Linked DNA regions of Arabidopsis thaliana. The main gene of each other region encodes a partner of the protein of the gene in region 2 in a complex. Each region holds a gene or a part of one and is shown on either strand. Other genes may lie near its edges.

Evidence for each region. The genes of interacting proteins can lie anywhere in the genome.
Region 1: AT3G44240 (region 2) and AT3G58580 share a complex: the UniProt entries of both Arabidopsis thaliana proteins name them as parts of the CCR4-NOT complex.
Region 3: AT3G44240 (region 2) and AT1G73875 share a complex: the UniProt entries of both Arabidopsis thaliana proteins name them as parts of the CCR4-NOT complex.

What each region holds. Positions count from the first base shown.
Region 1 is NC_003074.8:21,659,669-21,666,736, reverse strand, and holds AT3G58580 (DNAse I-like superfamily protein), read left to right. Parts: upstream 1-2,641; 5' UTR 2,642-3,039; coding exon 3,040-3,197; intron 3,198-3,391; coding exon 3,392-4,139; intron 4,140-4,231; coding exon 4,232-4,318; intron 4,319-4,399; coding exon 4,400-4,483; intron 4,484-4,559; coding exon 4,560-4,646; intron 4,647-4,743; coding exon 4,744-4,830; intron 4,831-4,939; coding exon 4,940-4,993; intron 4,994-5,088; coding exon 5,089-5,180; intron 5,181-5,275; coding exon 5,276-5,390; intron 5,391-5,476; coding exon 5,477-5,627; intron 5,628-5,722; coding exon 5,723-5,871; 3' UTR 5,872-6,139; downstream 6,140-7,068. Other genes in the region: AT3G58590 (Pentatricopeptide repeat (PPR) superfamily protein), read right to left, coding at 1-475; AT3G58570 (P-loop containing nucleoside triphosphate hydrolases superfamily protein), read right to left, coding at 6,385-6,999. UniProt on the Arabidopsis thaliana protein: Acts as a catalytic component of the CCR4-NOT core complex, which in the nucleus seems to be a general transcription factor, and in the cytoplasm the major mRNA deadenylase involved in mRNA turnover.
Region 2 is NC_003074.8:15,937,310-15,941,933, forward strand, and holds AT3G44240 (Polynucleotidyl transferase, ribonuclease H-like superfamily protein), read left to right. Parts: upstream 1-2,874; coding exon 2,875-3,594; downstream 3,595-4,624. UniProt on the Arabidopsis thaliana protein: Ubiquitous transcription factor required for a diverse set of processes. It is a component of the CCR4 complex involved in the control of gene expression.
Region 3 is NC_003070.9:27,777,756-27,785,849, reverse strand, and holds AT1G73875 (DNAse I-like superfamily protein), read right to left. Parts: upstream 4,996-8,094; 5' UTR 4,739-4,995; coding exon 4,447-4,738; intron 4,309-4,446; coding exon 4,145-4,308; intron 4,072-4,144; coding exon 4,006-4,071; intron 3,933-4,005; coding exon 3,880-3,932; intron 3,539-3,879; coding exon 3,457-3,538; intron 3,232-3,456; coding exon 3,182-3,231; intron 3,063-3,181; coding exon 2,990-3,062; intron 2,765-2,989; coding exon 2,672-2,764; intron 2,587-2,671; coding exon 2,554-2,586; intron 2,433-2,553; coding exon 2,341-2,432; intron 2,109-2,340; coding exon 1,976-2,108; coding exon of another isoform or gene 1,892-1,975; exon of another isoform or gene 1,785-1,891; coding exon 1,699-1,784; intron 1,570-1,698; coding exon 1,485-1,569; intron 1,342-1,484; coding exon 1,279-1,341; 3' UTR 930-1,278; downstream 1-929. Other genes in the region: UGT89B1 (UDP-glucosyl transferase 89B1), read right to left, coding at 1-707; BBX16 (B-box type zinc finger protein with CCT domain-containing protein), read right to left, coding at 5,328-5,588, 5,719-6,636. UniProt on the Arabidopsis thaliana protein: Acts as a catalytic component of the CCR4-NOT core complex, which in the nucleus seems to be a general transcription factor, and in the cytoplasm the major mRNA deadenylase involved in mRNA turnover.

The DNA of each region.
Region 1 (7,068 bases), 5.7 Mb from region 2:
ACAAACACAACAAACAAGTACCAACAAATGCATCAGCCATAAACAAGCCATACTTCAAGCTCAAACCGTGCAACTGAGTTCCAGCACGAACATCCAACGATGCACAGGACAATAAACCACTCACTGTTGACTGGTTCGGCAAATATCCAAAATACCTCATCTCAGAGAACACACCCCAAGCTTTATCAACATCCCCGTATTTGCTGTACCCTTTAATGATCGTGTTGAAAGACACTTTATTTCTCTCAGGCATTTGATCAAACACTTTGCCTGCAAGTGATACCTCGCCAAGCTTCTCATAAAGACTGATAATGTTATTGCAGACATAAACTGGCTGCAAAAGAACAGAGCATAAAGTGATGGAGAGAGCGTGAAGAGCTTTGGTCCTTGCAAAGGAAGGAGCTTTTCTGCAGACATTGAGTAAGCTAACTACACGATCGTTGTGATTGGCGAGATCTCCACAGCTGAGGCTCATGCAGAAGGATACTGAAAACAGAGTACTTCCCAGATCGATCTCAGTTATAATTAAGAACTAAGTTTCGTGCATCATGAAGAAAGTTCTAATAAAGGTCTGAAATTTTAAAAGTTCGGATTTTTATAAACATCAAGAACAAAGTTTGAAGTTCAGAACCAGGGAACTAAATAATTGATCTAGACCGCACCGGCTGGTTCAACCACAGTATCACGGTTTTATCTGTCCAATTGACCAATCTGGCCCATATTATTTTACAAATAAGATCTTTCAAATTGGCCCATATTTAACAAAAGAAAATCGAATTAATATTATGGTTTTCTAAATGAACCAAAATCAACTCAACTTTTTTTTTTTGAATAATTTTATTTTTATTCCATAATTTAATTTGTTTATCATTTCCAATGAAATTTTATCATTAATAAAAAAGGTTGCTCTCCTCATCCCTTCCATCTTTCCTTTCACATTTTTTAGATTATACCTCATGTTTGAATAATATTGGTTTACATATCTAATTCATATTGAAAAACCCTCCAAATCTCTAGAGAAAAAGGACGATAAGAGTACTTAACTCACAAAGGGCAAATACCCAACTTTTGAATCTCCTTACATATTTTATGACAAACTATGAAGGTGTCCTCCAAATACTCTTTAATCATCTTTTGATTATCATCTATAATGATTGTTTCTTCAGACCTCATACCCATATCTTCGAGCGGTTTTAGTATCTTTACTGTCTCGTTAAATAGATTCTCATTTACCATTTCTAAGCATTTCTTCTCTTCTATCGTTAGATCAACTTTCAATTTTTGTATGTCTTTGACGGCTTCCAACAAAACTAACAACAACAAAAAGAAAAATCAAATCAAAAGATTTCACTATAAAGAACAAAAAATAAACAAATTGTTAGTTACCATCATAGAACAAATAATATTCAGCTGCCACAACCCTTTTGAAAAGTTGAATACGTTCTGTGCTTTTGCTCATCTCAACAATTTTGATTAAAAAAAAAAATATCTAATGCATTCTTTGTTACAAGGTCGAGATGTTATTTTGTAGCGTATATAGTGTTTGAGGCTTCTTTGTTTGGAAAAGATCGCTTTCGAAAAATAATAATTATTATTATTTTCCATGTTATGCTTCATATAAAATGTGGACTCAGGCCTCCGAAATAACAAATAGAAAAAATTGTGTTGAATGCTTAAAAACGAGAAAGAAATCTCTCAACTTTGATTTACTGGACACGCATTGTATTTGTTTTCTATAATTAGTTCAAAATAATAATTTGTAAATAGTTATCTAAATTCGGTAAAATACAAACCGATAACTTTTCATATCAAATACAACAAAAGTTAGATATAAATCTTAAATTTCTATACTTTAAAATTGAGTAAACCTGAAAAGAATGAAATTTAGTCTACCTAAATTTATTAAAAACCAACAAAATTTTCATAATTCGAACCTTAATTATTTCAGGTTTGAACCGCTTATATTTATGAAAACCAAATGAACTAGCTAAAACGAAAACAAAAGCGAAAATGAACATGACAATTTTGACAATGTTAAAATGTGATTCTTTCATTAATTTGACAAATTCAACAATTCTTAAGAAGATCAATTGAATTGATAAACTATGCTGCTCTTCTTGGGTAATTCTCACATTTTAAAAAAAAAACAAAAAAGAAGAAGAAGTTAATTCTACCTTAATCTGCAACAAATCGTCTTCAAGATAATTATATCACGAATTGATATTTCTTGTCTCTTAATCTTAACGAAGAAACTACACCTCCTGGCTCCTACTGAATGTGCGTTGAACACTCACCTATTGACTCATCTTCACCATTCCTTCTTTCTTCAATCTATCATAGATATAAATACACTTCTTTTAAGTCACCAATCTTGTTTTCGTAATGGTACGAGTCATAAATCTTGATTTGTCTTTGGTAAGTCATGTTTAGTTGTGGATTATTTGTTTTTACGCATTTTCTAGATTTTAAAATTTTATCTTTATATAAACAAAAATAAAACGAAAAACTTTCAATCTTTGAGCGCCAAAACCAAAATTTTCATCGAAAAGGAAGATCAATTAAAATATTATAAAATTTCATAATAATGTCTTCAAAGCACAAAATAATAGTTTTAGTATTAAACCCACTCGGGGAAAAAAAACACATAAAAAAACCAAAATCGATTTCATTGATTTTTTCCATATTCACAGCGAAAGAATCGATCCTTAATACAAAATTCCTTCAAGATCTCACATCTCTTATAAGCTTTCTCGATACCATCATTTTCCTTTCTTTTTTTCTTTTCTTCGATTCTAATTTGGTTCTGCCGGATCTTCAACCTTGTCTGAAGAAGACATTTTCTAGGGTTTCTAGAGATTGGTCGGGTTTTCGGTTCAAGTAAATGGTGGATCAGCCTATCGTACGCTCCACTTCATTAGGTTATCAACGACAATATTCATCATCTAATAATCATCATCAAGGTCTTGCTTCGATTCTGAATCTCTGCTGCTGCTGCTTCGATAGTGTTCTTCGACAATCACCAGGTGTTATTGAAAAGCAATGCTGAGCGTGATCCGAGTGCATCTTCCTTCTGAAATTCCCATTGTGGGCTGTGAATTGACTCCTTACGTCCTTGTTCGTCGTCCCGATAAGAACTCCACCACTGATGACGTCCCTGAATCTGCTCCTCTTGAAGGCTACTTCTTGAGATACAGATGGTTAGATTTCTGATTGGCTCTTTGTCTAATTGCTTTCTTGGATCATTTGGCGAATTGGGGTTTATCAAAGATTGAATTTTGATCTGAATTCAGAGATTTCTCATGTAGATGTTCTGATTTAGGTCGTCAAATGGTTTTTGTGTGTAAAGTTCTGATCTTGTTGTAGATTCATTTTTTGGATTTATTTGTTGTAGGTATCGTGTACAGAGTGATAAGAAAGTAACGATTTGCAGTGTGCATCCAACGGAACAAGCTACTTTACAGTGTGTTTTCTGTTCTAAGCGTAGATCCCTTGTTCCAAAAAGCTATCACTGTTCGCCAAAATGCTTCACGGATGCGTGGCAGCATCACAGGACTTTGCACGAGCGAGCAGCTGCGGAAAACAACGCAAACGAGGATGATGACTTGAACAGGAATAACAGTGCGGGTTCTGGGTCTCTCGCTGGTTCCTTATCTGGGTCTATGTCAAATCTTAGTATTGCCAACAATGGTCCAGCTCCGTTTTATCCTTCTAATATTACTCAGAAAAATGGAGGAGAGACTTTAGTTGAGGTTGGGGGTTGCAAAACGTACACTCCAACAGCTGATGATATTAGCCACGTTTTGAAGTTCGAGTGTGTTGTGGCTAATGCTGAGACTAAACAGATTGTCGGACATCCTAGTACCATTTTGACTTCACGGGTTATTCCTGCTCCTTCTCCAAGCCCCCGTAAGCTAATCCCTGTTAACGGAGCTGATGGGATGGGTCACTTAGATCAAGATGCTCGGATTCAGTCTGCAGGATCATTCACTGTTCTTTCATATAACATTTTGTCTGATACTTCTGCAAGTAGCGACCTCTACAGTTACTGTCCTCCTTGGGCTCTTTCATGGCCATACCGAAGACAGAATTTGTTAAGGGAGATTGTTGGATATAGAGCCGATGTAGTTTGCCTGCAAGAAGTATGTTATTCGTATGGACTTGGTAATGATTTAAAGCATTTTAATTCTGAAAAATCTACTTCTAATGTGTTCTTTTTTTTGTTATCTGGCAGGTACAAAGTGATCATTTCCATGAAATTTTTGCTCCTGAGTTGGATAAGCATGGGTATCAAGCTCTTTACAAGAGGAAGACTAATGAGGTTTGGTCAATGATTCCACACACTCCTTCCTTCAGTGATTTATGTTTTAAAATCTATTAACCACAAATTTCTTGTTGCTAGGTTCTCAGCGGAAGTACAAGTGCCATTGACGGCTGTGCAACATTTTTCCGGCGGGATAGGTTTTCGCATGTCAAGAAATATGATGTTTGTATTCAGTTCTATATGTTTACTTGCTAGATCCAGTAAGATCTCTATACTAATTCATGGACTGTAAATCCAGGTTGAATTCAACAAGGCTGCTCAGTCTTTGACTGACGCTCTAATCCCTCAGGCTCAGAAGAGAACTGCTTTAAACCGACTGGTTAAGGTATTTTTGACATGGTATACAATATTTTTCTGGGCCACAGCTGATTATCAGAGAGTTATTGTTTACAAAACTGAAACCAATGATTCTTATGTTGTAGGATAACATTGCGTTGATAGTTGTTCTTGAAGCCAAATTTGGTAATCAACCTACTGATCCTTCTGGGAAGCGCCAGCTTATTTGTGTGGTACTGGTTCTTTTTTTTTTTCCATTCTCATGAGAACTGTTAGTTTCTGTATATGCTCTTTTAGTGAAAGCCAATGAATTTTCTTATTTTGTTGTGGCAACTTGTTTAGGCAAACACACATGTAAATGTTCAACAAGATCTGAAGGATGTGAAGCTCTGGCAGGTTGGTGTATCTCTATATCCGAAATAAATCAAATTTCATTGAACTCGAAAGAATTAGTATTCACCTCATGTTTTCTTTTATTCTTTTGCGTTTAGGTTCATACCTTATTAAAGGGACTAGAGAAAATAGCAGCTAGTGCCGATATTCCTATGCTTGTGTGTGGAGACTTCAATACGCTTCCTGGGAGGTTTGTTGATTCATAAATTCTTTTGACATGATACATGAAATGCAGAATTCTCTTATGAGTAGCTAAAGTTTTTCTTTTTGGCATTTTTATGACAGTGCACCTCATACACTTCTTGTAATGGGAAAGGTTGATCCAATGCACCCAGATCTGGCAGTCGATCCCCTTAATATCCTGCGTCCTCACACCAAATTGACTCATCAATTGCCTCTGGTAACATTGCTTTTTTCGATTTAAGTAAATTTATACCGCTTATCTTTGCGTCTCTCTTGGATATTTGATAAATGAATTGGTTTCAGGTGAGCGCGTACTCATCGTTTGTGAGAAAGGGAATAATGGGTCTTGGATTGGAACAACACAGAAGGAGAATAGATCTTAATACAAACGAGCCTTTGTTTACCAATTGTACAAGGGACTTCATCGGCACTCATGACTACATATTCTACACAGGTTTCACCATTTTTAACTCCATTGTCCTTGTTTTCAACTACATCAGAAATAACAAGTTAACTTAATTGGAAGATTTTTTTGTGTTTGGGTTTCAGCGGATACATTAATGGTGGAATCTCTATTGGAATTACTGGATGAAGATGGATTAAGAAAAGACACAGCTCTTCCTTCCCCAGAATGGTCTTCTAATCACATTGCTCTCTTAGCTGAATTTCGATGCACGCCTAGGACAAGACGCGGTTAACCGCCTTCACCACCCACCATCATTTGCTTACAGATAGGTTTTTTTTTTTTGTTCCGATCTTCTTCTTTGATCAGACTATGACATCAACTGTTTAGACGAAACCTTTACCAAATCTGTGATAGAGATGACACAAAGATTCAAAGGGATTCTGAGTAAGGCAAACCACTCTATGAAGTTGGTCATTCTTTATTATGACCCCTGTGTGGCTCTGTCTAAACCTCCTTTTATATCTCATTTTGATCCTCAATATAGTGAAAACCCTTTGACTTTTCTTTTCCTTGGATCAATTTTAATGTTTGAACTGCTTTGTATGACTAAATAGCTCATGAGAATAATATGGGTCTACTAGGGGGTTTTCTTTTTTCACATTGAACAAAGAGACGATTCGTGTCTACTACATAACCATTTAAAGAGCAAACATACACATCTGTGGCTGCTCCCTAATAATAAACAATAGAGATAAGTGAGAGAGAAAGAGAACATAATCGGTTCTTGAAGAATTGAAGTTAAAGCTTAGTCCCACGCACTAGCCACTCCAGGACCATACCCTTGGTTAGGAACGGTTCCATATCCTCCAGGACCATAGTAAGCACCACCACCTCTACCATAAGGTGCATAACCACCACCCGGAACATTTCCATATCCACCACCTGGTACGGGTCCGTACCCACCAGGCATTGCTCCATAGCCACCACCAGGAACGCCTCCATATCCACCACCTCCACCATAGTAGTCAGCACCACCACCGCCTCGACTAAAAGATTCTCTCCTGAAGTCACGACCACCAAACCGTCCACCAGACCGCCGGTTCTTACCACCTCCAAATGAAGCACGAGATGCGTATCGAGTCAGCCAGTCAGGGACCTCCTGGTTAGCTTCTTGCATTAGCTCAGCCAGTGGCTTGGCCATTGTTGTGTTGTTGTCATTGAAGAAAGCAGTTGCTAGTCCTGAATTTCCTGCACGTCCTGTTCGTCCGATACGGTGGACATAGTCATCAATGTCGTTTGGTAGATCAAAGTTCACTACATGAGCCACGTGCGGAATGTCAAGACCACGTGCTGCCACATCGGTTGCAACCAAAATAGGTGTCCGCCCAGTCTTGAATGATCTCAGTGCCACTTCTCTTTCCTTGTATGCATAAAAAATACAATAAGGTTTTAGCTTTGGTTGCACTGAAGAATACTCTACAATATCCTA
Region 2 (4,624 bases):
ACATTTTAAATATAACCTTAATTTTTGTAAGTAATTACATAGGTATGCCATTAGGAATAAAATTTTAAAGAGTAAATTAATTTATCTCTTTAAGGATTAAAAAGTCAAATACTAATTTAATTAATTAAATTTAATTTAAAAACGAAATACATTATTAATTTTCAAAAATAATAACCAATCAAAATCAACATATAAGATTTGATATCTAAATTTTAATTAATTTGATTTAATTAGAAAAATAAAATACATTATTAATTTCCAAAAAAGTAACCAATTAAAATCAACAAATTAGATTTGATATCTAAATTATCATATTAATGTTTTATTAATTATTATAATTCACTTCTCATCTTTATATGATTCTATTTTTGCAAAAAAATAATATCATCATTATAAAAAAATAATTAGAGTTTTTTCGCATATGCAATAATTAGAATTTTTAAAAACGAATATAAACTGTTAAATACATGAAAAAATATTATACCGGGTGAAAAATAGATTTAAGAAAACTTTCTACTGAGTAACGGGTCATAATTTGAAATATTTATATTTAATTTCATACATATTATATTGAAAATTTATAATCTTATATACTATAATAATTTTTATGTGTATGATGTGATTCAATTTTTAATACAAGCTAGAAAATCCTAGAATTGACGGGTTTAGATCGATATTAATATAAGATGGTATACTACAGGTGAAACTCTTAAATTAACAATCAAACTACAAGTGTATAATCTTAAACACTAAACAATATAGATAATATCAACAAAACATATACAACTCACAGTTTACTATACATTTAAAATTAAATAAAATAATATCATATATTTTTAAATCATCTTTACAATAAAAGTTTTTAGTTTAACTAAAATATAAGCCTACCTGCGGTATACTACAGGTTAATATCTAGATTATAGGGCTTATTGGATCTAAAGACGGGTCATCAAAGATTTCCTAAACTGAAGCAAAATATACTGAATACTCAAATATCTATCTGTTACCAAATTATAAACAAATAAGTTCGTAAAACAATTTAATATTTTATATACAAAATCAATTAAATCTTAATCACATAAAAATTAGCACAAAAAAAAGTATTCAACAATTAAAAAATTATCAAATCTCTGTGTTATATAAGTTTTGATACTATATTCGAATAAAGTGTAATATTCCTTTTCGATTTGTATTCTTTAACTAATTTAAGCTGACTAATATATTTGTTAATCTTATACCTATCAAAACCGACTATCGTTTTTTATCTCTATAGTATTTTTGCAACATTTGTTTGGTGGATTTGGGTAAAAGTGCATTCGGGTCATATGGTACATTCCCCTATTAAATAAATATGGTGTACTCCTATGTTATCAGCTAAAATATTTAAATTATAATTCAGAGTCATATCATTAGTAAAATTAATATTAATAAAATAAATGGCTTTTTGGCAAGACGGATTTGGAGTGACGGGTTTTTGAATCAACATTAATAAAAAAGTAAAATATAATTAATCCACTGTTTCAATACGGGTTAAATCTTTAATTTATTATTTTTTAAGATCACTAATATTAAACATATCAAATCATCCTAATTTAGAAAAGATTATATAAAACCAAAAATGTTATGTGGTATGTATAATATTACTATATATATAATTAAATTATAAAATATAAATGTATTAGAGAATATACAATTTACAAAACTTTTATATATAAAAAAGAATTCTTAAATTTTAAAAATTACTACTTTAAAAAAAAAATCACAGGACGGGTAAATAAATTATAGAACAGGTTTTATTTTGGAATTGGGTTATATGGTGGATGTATTTGAATCAATATTTATAAAATTTTAAATTATTATTATGCTGTTGTTTTAATAGGGGTTACAACTTCAGTTTTTTAACAATTATCTCATGGATTCGTGGTATAGCGTTATTTAATAACAATTATAAACTGTAAAATATAAATATATTTTAAAATTAAAAATTGCAAATTTTAATATATATTACTTTTAAAATCGTCCCGCGGTATACCGTGCGGTATACCGCGGGTTAAAATCTAGTTTATAGATAAAGCCAATACATTTCCTTGCTAAATTCAACATACTAACAACTAGATTAGTAGAGCTACAATTGCAAATATACCATTCCTTTTACAATATAATTATTTTAAAATAGGTTTTACTAGAACGATTCATCTTAATTAATATAAAATAGAAAAGAAAGTTTATTTTTAAATTTTTGCCTTTTTAACATTTGTAATCTTATCACACTAATATTGTGATGAATATATTAGAAAGTTATTTTGATTTTAGGAAATTGACAGTCTAAATTTTATAGATACATGAACTCATTTACGGACTAAATTCAACATACTAGCAATAACAGCTACAATCACAAATATAGTATATTCTTTTTGATAGATTTATCTGAAAATATATTTTTCACTAAAACAATTAATCTTAACTAATAAAATGGAAAAAGAAAGTTCATTTATGAATTTTTGTCTTTTTAACAATAAGAGTCTCATCACATTAATATTGCTAGTGATGAAATATGTTGAAAAATAGGTTTACTTTTGGTAGTAAACCAATAAAAGAATAATCTGAATTTGTAGCATTGATTTCTTATAATATTGTGAATTTTAAATACCTGAAAGGTGAATTTAAATGATCAGTAATTACAATATTAGTCTCGCAAGAAAACAAGAAATTTCCTTTTCCAAAACCGAAATAACTAATAAAATCAAATCCAAGACTTTTGCGGCGGTGACAGACTCTATAAAGAAGTTTCAGTCCCAAGACTCCCTCACATTATTTTCTCTCGCTCTCGAACAAAATGGTCGTGAAATCTGGAATTGAAATAGGAACAAGGAGATGAGTTTAATAGAAGATTGTCTAAGAAGCTACCGTTTCATTGCAATAGACACAGAGTTTCCATCTACTTTGAGGGAAACTACACAACATGCGACAGATGAGGAACGTTACATGGATATGAGTTTTAGTGTGGACAGAGCAAAATTGATCCAGTTAGGGCTAACTCTGTTCGATATCAATGGAAGAATTGGAGGAACATGGGAGATCAATTTCTCTGATTTCGGAGTTGACGATGCTAGAAACGAGAAATCCATTGAGTTCCTTAGACGCAACGGTCTAGATCTAAGGAAGATTAGAGAAGAGGGCATCAGAATCGAGGGTTTCTTCTCGGAGATGTTTTGGATGCTGAAGAAGACGAGGAGGAATATTACTTGGGTCACGTTTCATGGATCTTACGACATCGCCTATTTACTCAAGGGTTTCACCGGAGAAGCTTTACCTGTGACTTCAGAGAGGTTTTCTAAAGCGGTCGCGAGAGTTCTCGGTTCTGTTTACGATTTGAAAGTCATGGCGGGTCGATGTGAAGGACTAAGTAGCAGGCTTGGTTTGGAGACTCTAGCGCATGAGTTCGGACTTAACCGTGTTGGTACTGCACACCACGCCGGTTCCAATAACGAGTTAACGGCGATGGTTTTCGCTAAGGTACTGTCTCCGTTTCCTCTCTTTCTTCGTTTTGGTTCTTTGGAGTTAAGAACTATAGAAAGTGAAGCAATAGTGTAGTGTGTGTGTGTGCTTTGTGCCTTTGTCTAATCCTAAGACTGATCAATGATATATGTCCGTTCAATTATTTTTCTAGTAATGAGATGTTTTCAAGACTCAAGATACATTGAAGATGGAGAAGTAGCAGCATACACCAAGAATAATTTGACATGGCCCAATTGAACAAGATCATTCCCATCCTTTACCATGTCTTGTGATCCTAGCTTGTGTTTCTGCTGTGTATTGATTTGTGATCTTAATTCAACACTAGAACTTTTTCTTCATTACATGTTGACTTGACTAAAATGTTGATACTAATATACTACACAATCATTTAGATGCATGAATGATCAAGTTCTATTCTGATTGATATTGTCTTCATAGAACTTAGTGATTAACTAAATTTTATTTATACACTATTATTCAAATAACCATTTGTATCGTATTCTCATTTACATGGCTTTGATAGAATTTAGTAATGCTCAGTTTATATAAATTGCCAAATATGATACCAAATATTTGTGCCTCGTCATAGATCATGAATTAAACTACTGTATATGATTATCTAGTTATTATTTTTATTATTTTAATTAAGTCCGAACTGTATTTAAAATGTTTAATAAAAATAATTTATTAACTTCAAATATTTCATAAATATCTCATACAATGAGCTCACAGGCAGAAAAAAAGAAATAAAATATTCAAAATCTAAAGTTCCTACCTGCTATTTTTCTGCAAATTCTCTCACTTCACTAGATATTTTTTGATTAAAATCGAGAAAAGTAAATGGTTTAAAGATGATATTTTCCGATTAGTAACCACTTTTGAGGAAAAAAATGAGTAGGAAAATCGTGTTCCTCTTTGTTCCTAATTTTGTTTTAGCATTTGCAAGGTATTTTTGTTCCAATTTCAGACATGTGGGTCCTACATTTTTCCTCATCATTCCTAAAAAAAAAAGAATAATAGAACAAAATTGTTTCACCCCAAAATTGTAGAGGAACCAAGAGTAACAAAAAAAATAAAATTCGTTTTTATTTATTAAATAAATTTA
Region 3 (8,094 bases), on a different chromosome or scaffold from region 2:
AGATGTTCGAGATAAACACCTTCCATGGCGGTGAACGAGTTCACGACGAGTCCCCAACTCGCCACGTTATCTCTAAAGGAGTCTCTTATGAACTCCCAAGCTGGATCTCCGTGAACGTAACTTCTGTAAAGAGAGGAGATCTGATCAAAACGGTATTTTGGACAATTCGGGATCTTGGGAAAGTGGAGGATCTCGTTATCGTCATCTTCGTTGATCTTGGTGGGCATTTCGATCCAGAGAGTATTGAGTATGCAGCAAGTGATAGCAGCGGAGGGAGAGAAATCGAAACGAGGGATTCCGAGGTTTTTGGTCCAACCAAGGAAGAAATCAGATACGATGGCTACTGGAGGAGAAGGGTGAGAAGTAATCCAAGAGATAAGCGGCGCGTGGAGATTACCAAGCGCGTGGATCATTAAAGGGAAGCCTGAAGGAGGTAAGTCTTGGACGTTTTCGACGCCGGAGGGGATTGAAGGGTGGGAGGGAAAAGGGAGGATAAGTGGTTCGATGTTAACTACGGCGGAGAGAAGCGGAGAGAGAAAAGGAAGGTTTTTTGGAGTGACTAGGACGGTTATTTTTAAGGCGGCGCCGCCGCGGAGAGCAAGGCGGTGGGTGAAGTCGAGGAGGGGAATCATGTGACCTTGCGCCGGAAATGGGAAGATTAAGACATGGGTCTTTGTCGGCTTGTTGTTTTCCTCGTTCACTTTCATAATGAGCTTTTCTAGTGGGACTTTTTTTTGTTTATGCCGGAATGTTTTGGTGGAGCAAAGAGAAAAGAGTGATTTAAATAGATGTGTGTTAACTGTAAATGGCCGATTTGTGTACCCAATGTATTCCCAACACTTGGAAAGAATGCTTACGACACTTTTGATAATACCGTGTGGTATTTTGATTAATGCAGCGTCAGATGACACTTGAGAAGAGCTTATTTTGGAGTGAACAGATTGAGATACTTTTTACGCAACGTCTCTTACATTGTTTTGCTTCTAGTAGCAAAATGGGTCTTCGCTCCTCATAGGTACACGTCCAGTAACATGCTATTTTGGTATTAACTTTTTAAAAGCAGAAAGAGTAGGTGCAAGTCTTGGGTAGGTAAGGTAAAAAAAAATGTTTCAAGTAAGCAAATCTATGTATGGGAATGAGCCCAAAACTTGTTTATGTTTTACAATTTACTGAATCTGTTTCCGAACTCCAATTCAGAAGCCTCGATGAGCATTCAAAAACCTCAAGGGATGGCCAAGTCAGGTGGCTCGGTTTAGTGGTTGGTGCTAACATTTTGGCTCATTGCCAGTCATTGACAAAGCCGAGTTCACATGCGATAGCGAGATGGTCGCTTCCCCAATTCTGCAAATTTTCATTGGTCAGAGACTTGTATGCAACTCTTCCAATAATCCCAGTTTTTACATTCTTGAAAAAATGAATAGAGTAACTCGAGAAAGTAAAGGGTTGCCCCAGAAAAAAAGTTTAGCCTAGAAAAAAAAACTTACCTCACTAGGTAGTCCACCTGTTCTTCTCAATACATCTGCTGGCAAGGTCTCAAGAACCCTCACAGGAACGAGTTCCTTGGTATGCCTGGGTTCAAAACCTCAGATTAATTATTGAGATTTCAAAATTACATGTGCATATATCACAACATTGATAGCCATATATAATTGAAAGCTCTGATTAATGATTCGGATTTCATAAGCACAACAGACTTACCATATATAATCAACAGTTCCAAGGAACCTGGAATGATACGTTGTTGCCAATGGTTCACCGCGTTGATCTCTAGTTCTATATGTACCCTGCAAGATCTCAGGTCTTAGCATACTAGAAGGATATATAACATCATACAACATGCTACTTTCCCTAAACGTTTTTCAGTATCTAGTATAAAAGAAAGCCACAGTTCCTAAGAACTTAGTTTTCCTGTAAGGCAGATTTCAACTCTTTTCGATGCGTCCACCAGTCGAGAACAAGAAACAAAAACACTTACAGGAACTCCACTATATGCGCTGTTAAGCTTCAGTTGATGTTGGACATGAGTGGTTTCTTGACCACCAGTTGCAAGCTGTAATTCTTCCTGGCTCCACTCATTGAGTAGTGATCCGGAGATGGATGCTGAAGCACTGACGAAAGAGGGAGTTGTTTAGTTAGACTAAATTGAGATAGAAACTTCATCTGAGGATTACGTAGTTGATTAAGCGCAGGCCAAAGAAAAATATAAGTAATCTATCACTCTATCAGTTCATCAGGTAAACAGAAGAGATATAAGCAATCTATCCGTTCATCAGGTAGGCAGAAAAGGAATATGGATACATTATTTAGAGAAACCAAAGACCCCGGTGAATTACAAGCTACCTAAATGCATAATGGTTTCTGAATGACCTCTCCTTTGGTTCCACTTCAGTCTGGCCAGAAATTTGCCTGCGATCGTGAAGTTGTGTATCCAACTGTCCAAAATTAAAAAAGGAATATAAAGAGTTCATTCTAACTTTCCCAGTAAAGAAAGGAAAAAAATTATGACCAGGCGAAATGTAAAAGAAAGAGTCCAGAACCCTCAATGGAACTCACATCAGCTGAAGCTATGAAATCATAGATTGCACTCTGTACAGCAAATCCAGAGTAAGTTTTAGAATTCAGCTAAAAAATAAGTATTAGAACAAAAAAAACAAAAGTTGGTAGAGATCACCTGTGGAGTGCTATTCAGATCACCTGCAATCGCCACAGGAATATTTCCCCATTCCTGTGATAGCTTGTAAGCCTTCTCCAGAAAGAGTCTTACCTATAAGTTATGACATATCAAATATCAAGAAATGAGCGAGCTACTTAGAATTTCAATGAAGTTTCAATACTGACAGGCATTGATGTACTGATGAATACCATAAAATAGTACTAGCTAAAAAATTGACATTTCTAAACTCAGGATGTGTAGTGACAGAAATGCTCTACCGATTTTATGGATAAGCCAGTTTTTATCAGAATTTTGTAAGGATCTAGCAAGACATACCTGGCCAAGCTTGATATCCCCACGCTTAGGATTGAATAGGACATGTATATTCCCAACCACTAGCCTTCGAGGACTAGTAGAAGTTTGCATAAATCAACCAAACATGGAAGTGCGCATAAAATTTAGTAAGGATCTTAAAAGTAAGTTCAATATTCACTCCAGTAAAGGAATCAGAACAGAACTCAGACATACTCTGATGATCGCACCCGTAATTTAGACTTTGGGTCCTCCTCACAGTTCATCTGTTCCGTAATAGACAATCAAGTAAATTAATTAATTGCAAGGGCTGAAACTAAGAAAATTAAGCAATTAGCCTGCAAAGCTGAAAACACAACAGGAGGGAAAAATATATAAAATAATGCCCACAATTAAGCTTGTCATATCTCTGTGCTTCTAGAATCAAGAAAAGACAGAGGAGAAAAGAGGGGGAAGACGACAATACAGAAATAACTTAAAACGGTGCATACCTCTAAAACACAAAGTTGAGCAACATTGTTTCGCATACCAAATTTATCAAACTCTATATGTTGATGGTCTAGAAGTTCAAATCTGCATTCACAGCAGAAATATAACATAAATGATGAAACTAGTAGAGTAAGAGTCTAATACAAAATAAATAACATCGAGAACAATAGAAAGCAAAGCTTTCAGCCTTGAACAATATATTGTGAAGCCAAGGTCAAAGCTGATAACATAACACAACGTGAACCTACCATTAACAATTTCGAAACATTCAAAACAGATAACTAGAAGATCTAATTTATCTCGTTCCAAAAGAGAGATATTCCCTGTAGACAATTCAAATGGCTAGATTCCTGATCCTGACTCCAGCATATAGAGACTTCCCACCACATTAAAAATGATCCTAAATAGAAAAAAACTGAACTTACAGATTCTCTTTCCAAAATATAGCACAACCATCACTCGCTTCTCCAGTCCGACTCTAAAAAATACTAAATGTATGAAAAAGGCACCATTGCATACAAGGTAATAAAGCTTTTGACTCGTATATATACCTTGTGAACACCTCGAAATCCTCTATTTTTAAGAAGAACATCTAAATCATCAAAGCGGTCAACCTCCTGCAATAAATTTGGACATGAGAATGCAATGAAACTTAAATAGTGTAGATCTAGGCAATCCCCTGGAACTTGCCTGAAGACATAAGATGCTTGCATTGTAACGACTAATCTCCTTGCATATGAGATGTTTCCGTCTACTCCACTCTAAGTGCTTCCGCGGAACATTGTAATACAAGTCCATGTGGTTCGACGCATTGTCAACACCAAGTAGATTGTACGAAACTAATACTAATTTATCTGAAGAATTGAAAAGGAGATATCAAGTTTTTCATACACATAAGATAAAAATGTGTTCAAAGTACGGAATGTGATACTTCGTGAAGCTAATAAAAGCATATAAGTGCATTATTCAGTGTGATTGCAATGCACACAGACCTGCTAGATTTTCAAAATTGTTTGCGGAAAACACCCATTCGCGCTCAACGGAACTCGAGATCTTCTCCTTAGTTCTCCGTCGCCGGCGGAGAGAAGACTTACTATGTCTGACAGGTTTACAATCACGCTGGCTGAATCCCGGCGTAAAAGAACGGTGAGGTTTTAAGGTTATTGACTCCTTCCTATTCGATTTCTCGTATACGTTCTCCGATTGTTCCGAAATCGAGTTACGCTTCCGCTTGGTGATGGTGATTGAGTTCGCCGTCGTGTTCTTACGCTCGTATCCGCTCATGTCAATCGTAGCAAGTCGGCGGCGCGTGAGCTATGCGTCAACCTTGTGAAGTTAACCAAATTCAGTCGGTTGAAATTCACGATTTTTACTGGTTAACGATTAAAATACGTACTTGATAACCCAAACCGGTTGGCTTAAGTAGTTGCCTAGTTGGGCTCTTTATGTTGGTTTTTTTAATTGTGTGATGGGCTATTCAGCCATAACTAGGCCTTAATGGCTTTTATTTCTTGCTTCATTTGTAAATTGTTGGAAATGGCATGTTCTAATTTGAACTTGTTTCTTGTTTTTTTTTTGTTTTTTTTAATTACACTTGTTTTCTTTGTAACATGTCTTCGCTACGAATTTTTTAGTGTTCGTTATTATCACACATTATGGCTTTTTTCTCCAATTCATTTGATAAACAAAGAGTTTTCATTTGATATATACAATAAATTACTCAATCAATCAATCTATAAAATCATAGTTGCCGGCTACAAGTCTACACAACCATCGGCCCCAAGAGTTTCAGTTCATTATTCAGTACATTACGACAATTACTTCAAAGGTCTTAATTACAAGATCTTTAAAGTGTTGATTAAAGTAAATCAAATCACGTCAAAAGTGACGTCCTCTTCACGAAACGACCTTTGATTCGAGGTCTCTGCTCAGCGTTAAGTTTCCGAACCTCATATCTTATTTTCTTTGAGAACAACCTCGTCCTCCGCTTCTCCTTGTACCTCAAAACCCTCGCCTCTCTCTCCCCGTCCGATCCTCCTCCGTCTCTCCCTTGCTGACGTGTCACCGATCCGTCGCTCGACATCAATTTCTCGTACCCACCCACAACATGAGGCAGACACGTGTTCCCTCCCAACTGGATCAGTGAACTTTATAACGTTATTTCGTCTTTTATAATCAATATATATCAGCTCAAAGTCAACGGAACTCGACACTACTAAAGACTAACATAGAGATGAGAGATATAGCTAGAGACACCAACTTACCATGCACTCCGGTTTGATTCCGGTTTTCCACGGCGAACCGTGATTATCCCAAGCACTAATCACAGCTCCATAATCTAATCTCAGAAACAAACTTGTCTTTCTATCTTTATCATTTGATGCTTCTCTATCACTATCCTTTGATCCTCCATTTTCACACTTGGCTTCTTCTTCTTCTTCATCTTCATCTTTCACCCTCTTCAAATCCTTACAATTAATCTCAAACCCTACTTTATTCTCTTCTTTGATGACTCCAACATCGTTTGGTTCCTTGAATCCCAAGCAAAGTTGTTCTTCCTCAAGTAAACTCTCCACGTCCATAGTGAGATCCTCAAGATCCATATCCAATGGCACGAACCCCATAAAACCTTCATCGTCCATGATTGCCTTCTCGACTTCTCCTAATTCTCCATTAGTAGTAGTGTTATTGACTTCATCAGGAACTAAGCAAAAGCCGTTTATATCATCAATCAGCATGTCTGAGAAAGGATCGAAAACAGGCACGCAACAATTCAGACTCTCCTCGGTTTCTTCTACGGAGGAGAACGAGAAAAAGCCATCATCTTCGTCTCCACCAAGCTCCGGAACAAGAGGATCGTTTGACTCGATTTGCAACAACTTCTCAAACGCACAACTCTTGCTCCTAGGCGTTCTCGCCTTTCTCCTGAATCCTTCGTACCATACCGACGTCGTTTTGTCTGCCGTCTCCGTCGGCGAAGATGATTGTAACCGGACACGTTCGTGCCGTTTCGCTAAATGGTTAGCCGAGTGGATCGAGGCGTCGCAGCTTTGGCATAGGAAAGCGTCATCGGCTGGACAGTACCAACTAGCACGTGATCTCTTCATGCACGCATCACAGCCACGCGCCGCCATCTTCTCTCCTGTCACGCTCGCGGTTCGGCTCTCTACATCGACCACCATTGTGTGTGTATATTACACAGTGAGAGAGTTGCTGAGATGGAGAGAGAGGCCTTGAGAAGAACAAAATACTGTAATATATATGGTTTTGCAACGAATTCACTAGTGTGTGTGGCGTCTCGATTTCCCGGCAGTATTTTTCATTTTTTTCAGAATTATTATTTTTTCATTACCTTGTGTGGTCTAAATTATTTGGAGTGGAGATAGAAATATAAATAAAAACTCATAATTCTATTCATAGTTTATTATGTACGTGTACATGGTATTTTAGAATGAGGACTTTTCACGAGTTTTTTACTTCAAATTTACAATTTTTGTTTTCATTATATTACGTACTTTCAAATAAATGTTTAGAACCATATACTTTTTTTTTGAAAAATTAGAACCATATATATACTTTATTCTTAAATAAAATTTTGAACCAATATGTCTGTAATTTTGCGCTCTCTCCGTTTTCATGATATAGTAAAATATGATCCTCAAATTCTTAATTACGATCTAACCGCTAGTTCATGTATGGTACTAAACTTCATCATTCTTTTCGGAAAATAAGTCATAGTGAAATACAGTTTGGTGAAGACACTGTTATAGATGGTGTTTTTTTTTCGTTGGCAAACACTGTTGAAGATGGTTAATATCAAATAATAAAATTGATCTTGTTGAAATATTAAAAGACAAAAAAAAATGAAAAATTTAAGTTCTGTGTAAAACTAGCTATTGGTGGTTAGTCAAGAGGAAACTTATAATGGAACCCACTGGTGATCTGATTCTGCCTCCTTATTGGTTGAAATATACTGTCATCTCCGTTTTTGCACTCTGATTGGCTCAAGTTCTTCCATGGAGATTCTTACGTGGACCCCACATTTTCAAGTTTTGTTTTGAAACTATTTTGTTTGTTGGTGCGTTTGCATGACCGCAACGCAGCGTGATACTTTAAACGCAGGAAGTTACTTTTCATCTTTTCTTTTCTTTTTTTGTATAGCAAACGACATTCTTTTTTGGAACTTCCAACAACACCTGTGAAGTTTTGTAGAACATTTAACATCCAACTTCTAATGTTTGATGATAGAAAAAAGGATTATATGTCACTAAAAATGTAAAATTTCTGCTTTTGTGATCTTAGAGATGGGTGTTTAATCAGCACCTAAAGATTCAAATGGGTCCTAAATTTAATTATTATCATTTATTGTGGATCTAACATAACGGAAATGATATGAGTAATGGAATTCTAGTCCTTTAAAGAAAGGAATTGATTGTGGTGATATAGCGACGTGACAATATATACAAATCAAGAGGTTGTGACTTCATCGAATTTTTGGCAATTTTGCAGTTTACGCCAAAAGAAACAAGGAAACAAACAATTTTACGCCACATGACCCACGAACAATTGAACATCTCTCTATCATAGGACTCGTTCCTCTGCTTTACACCACCATTTTATTTATATTACTTTATATGGAA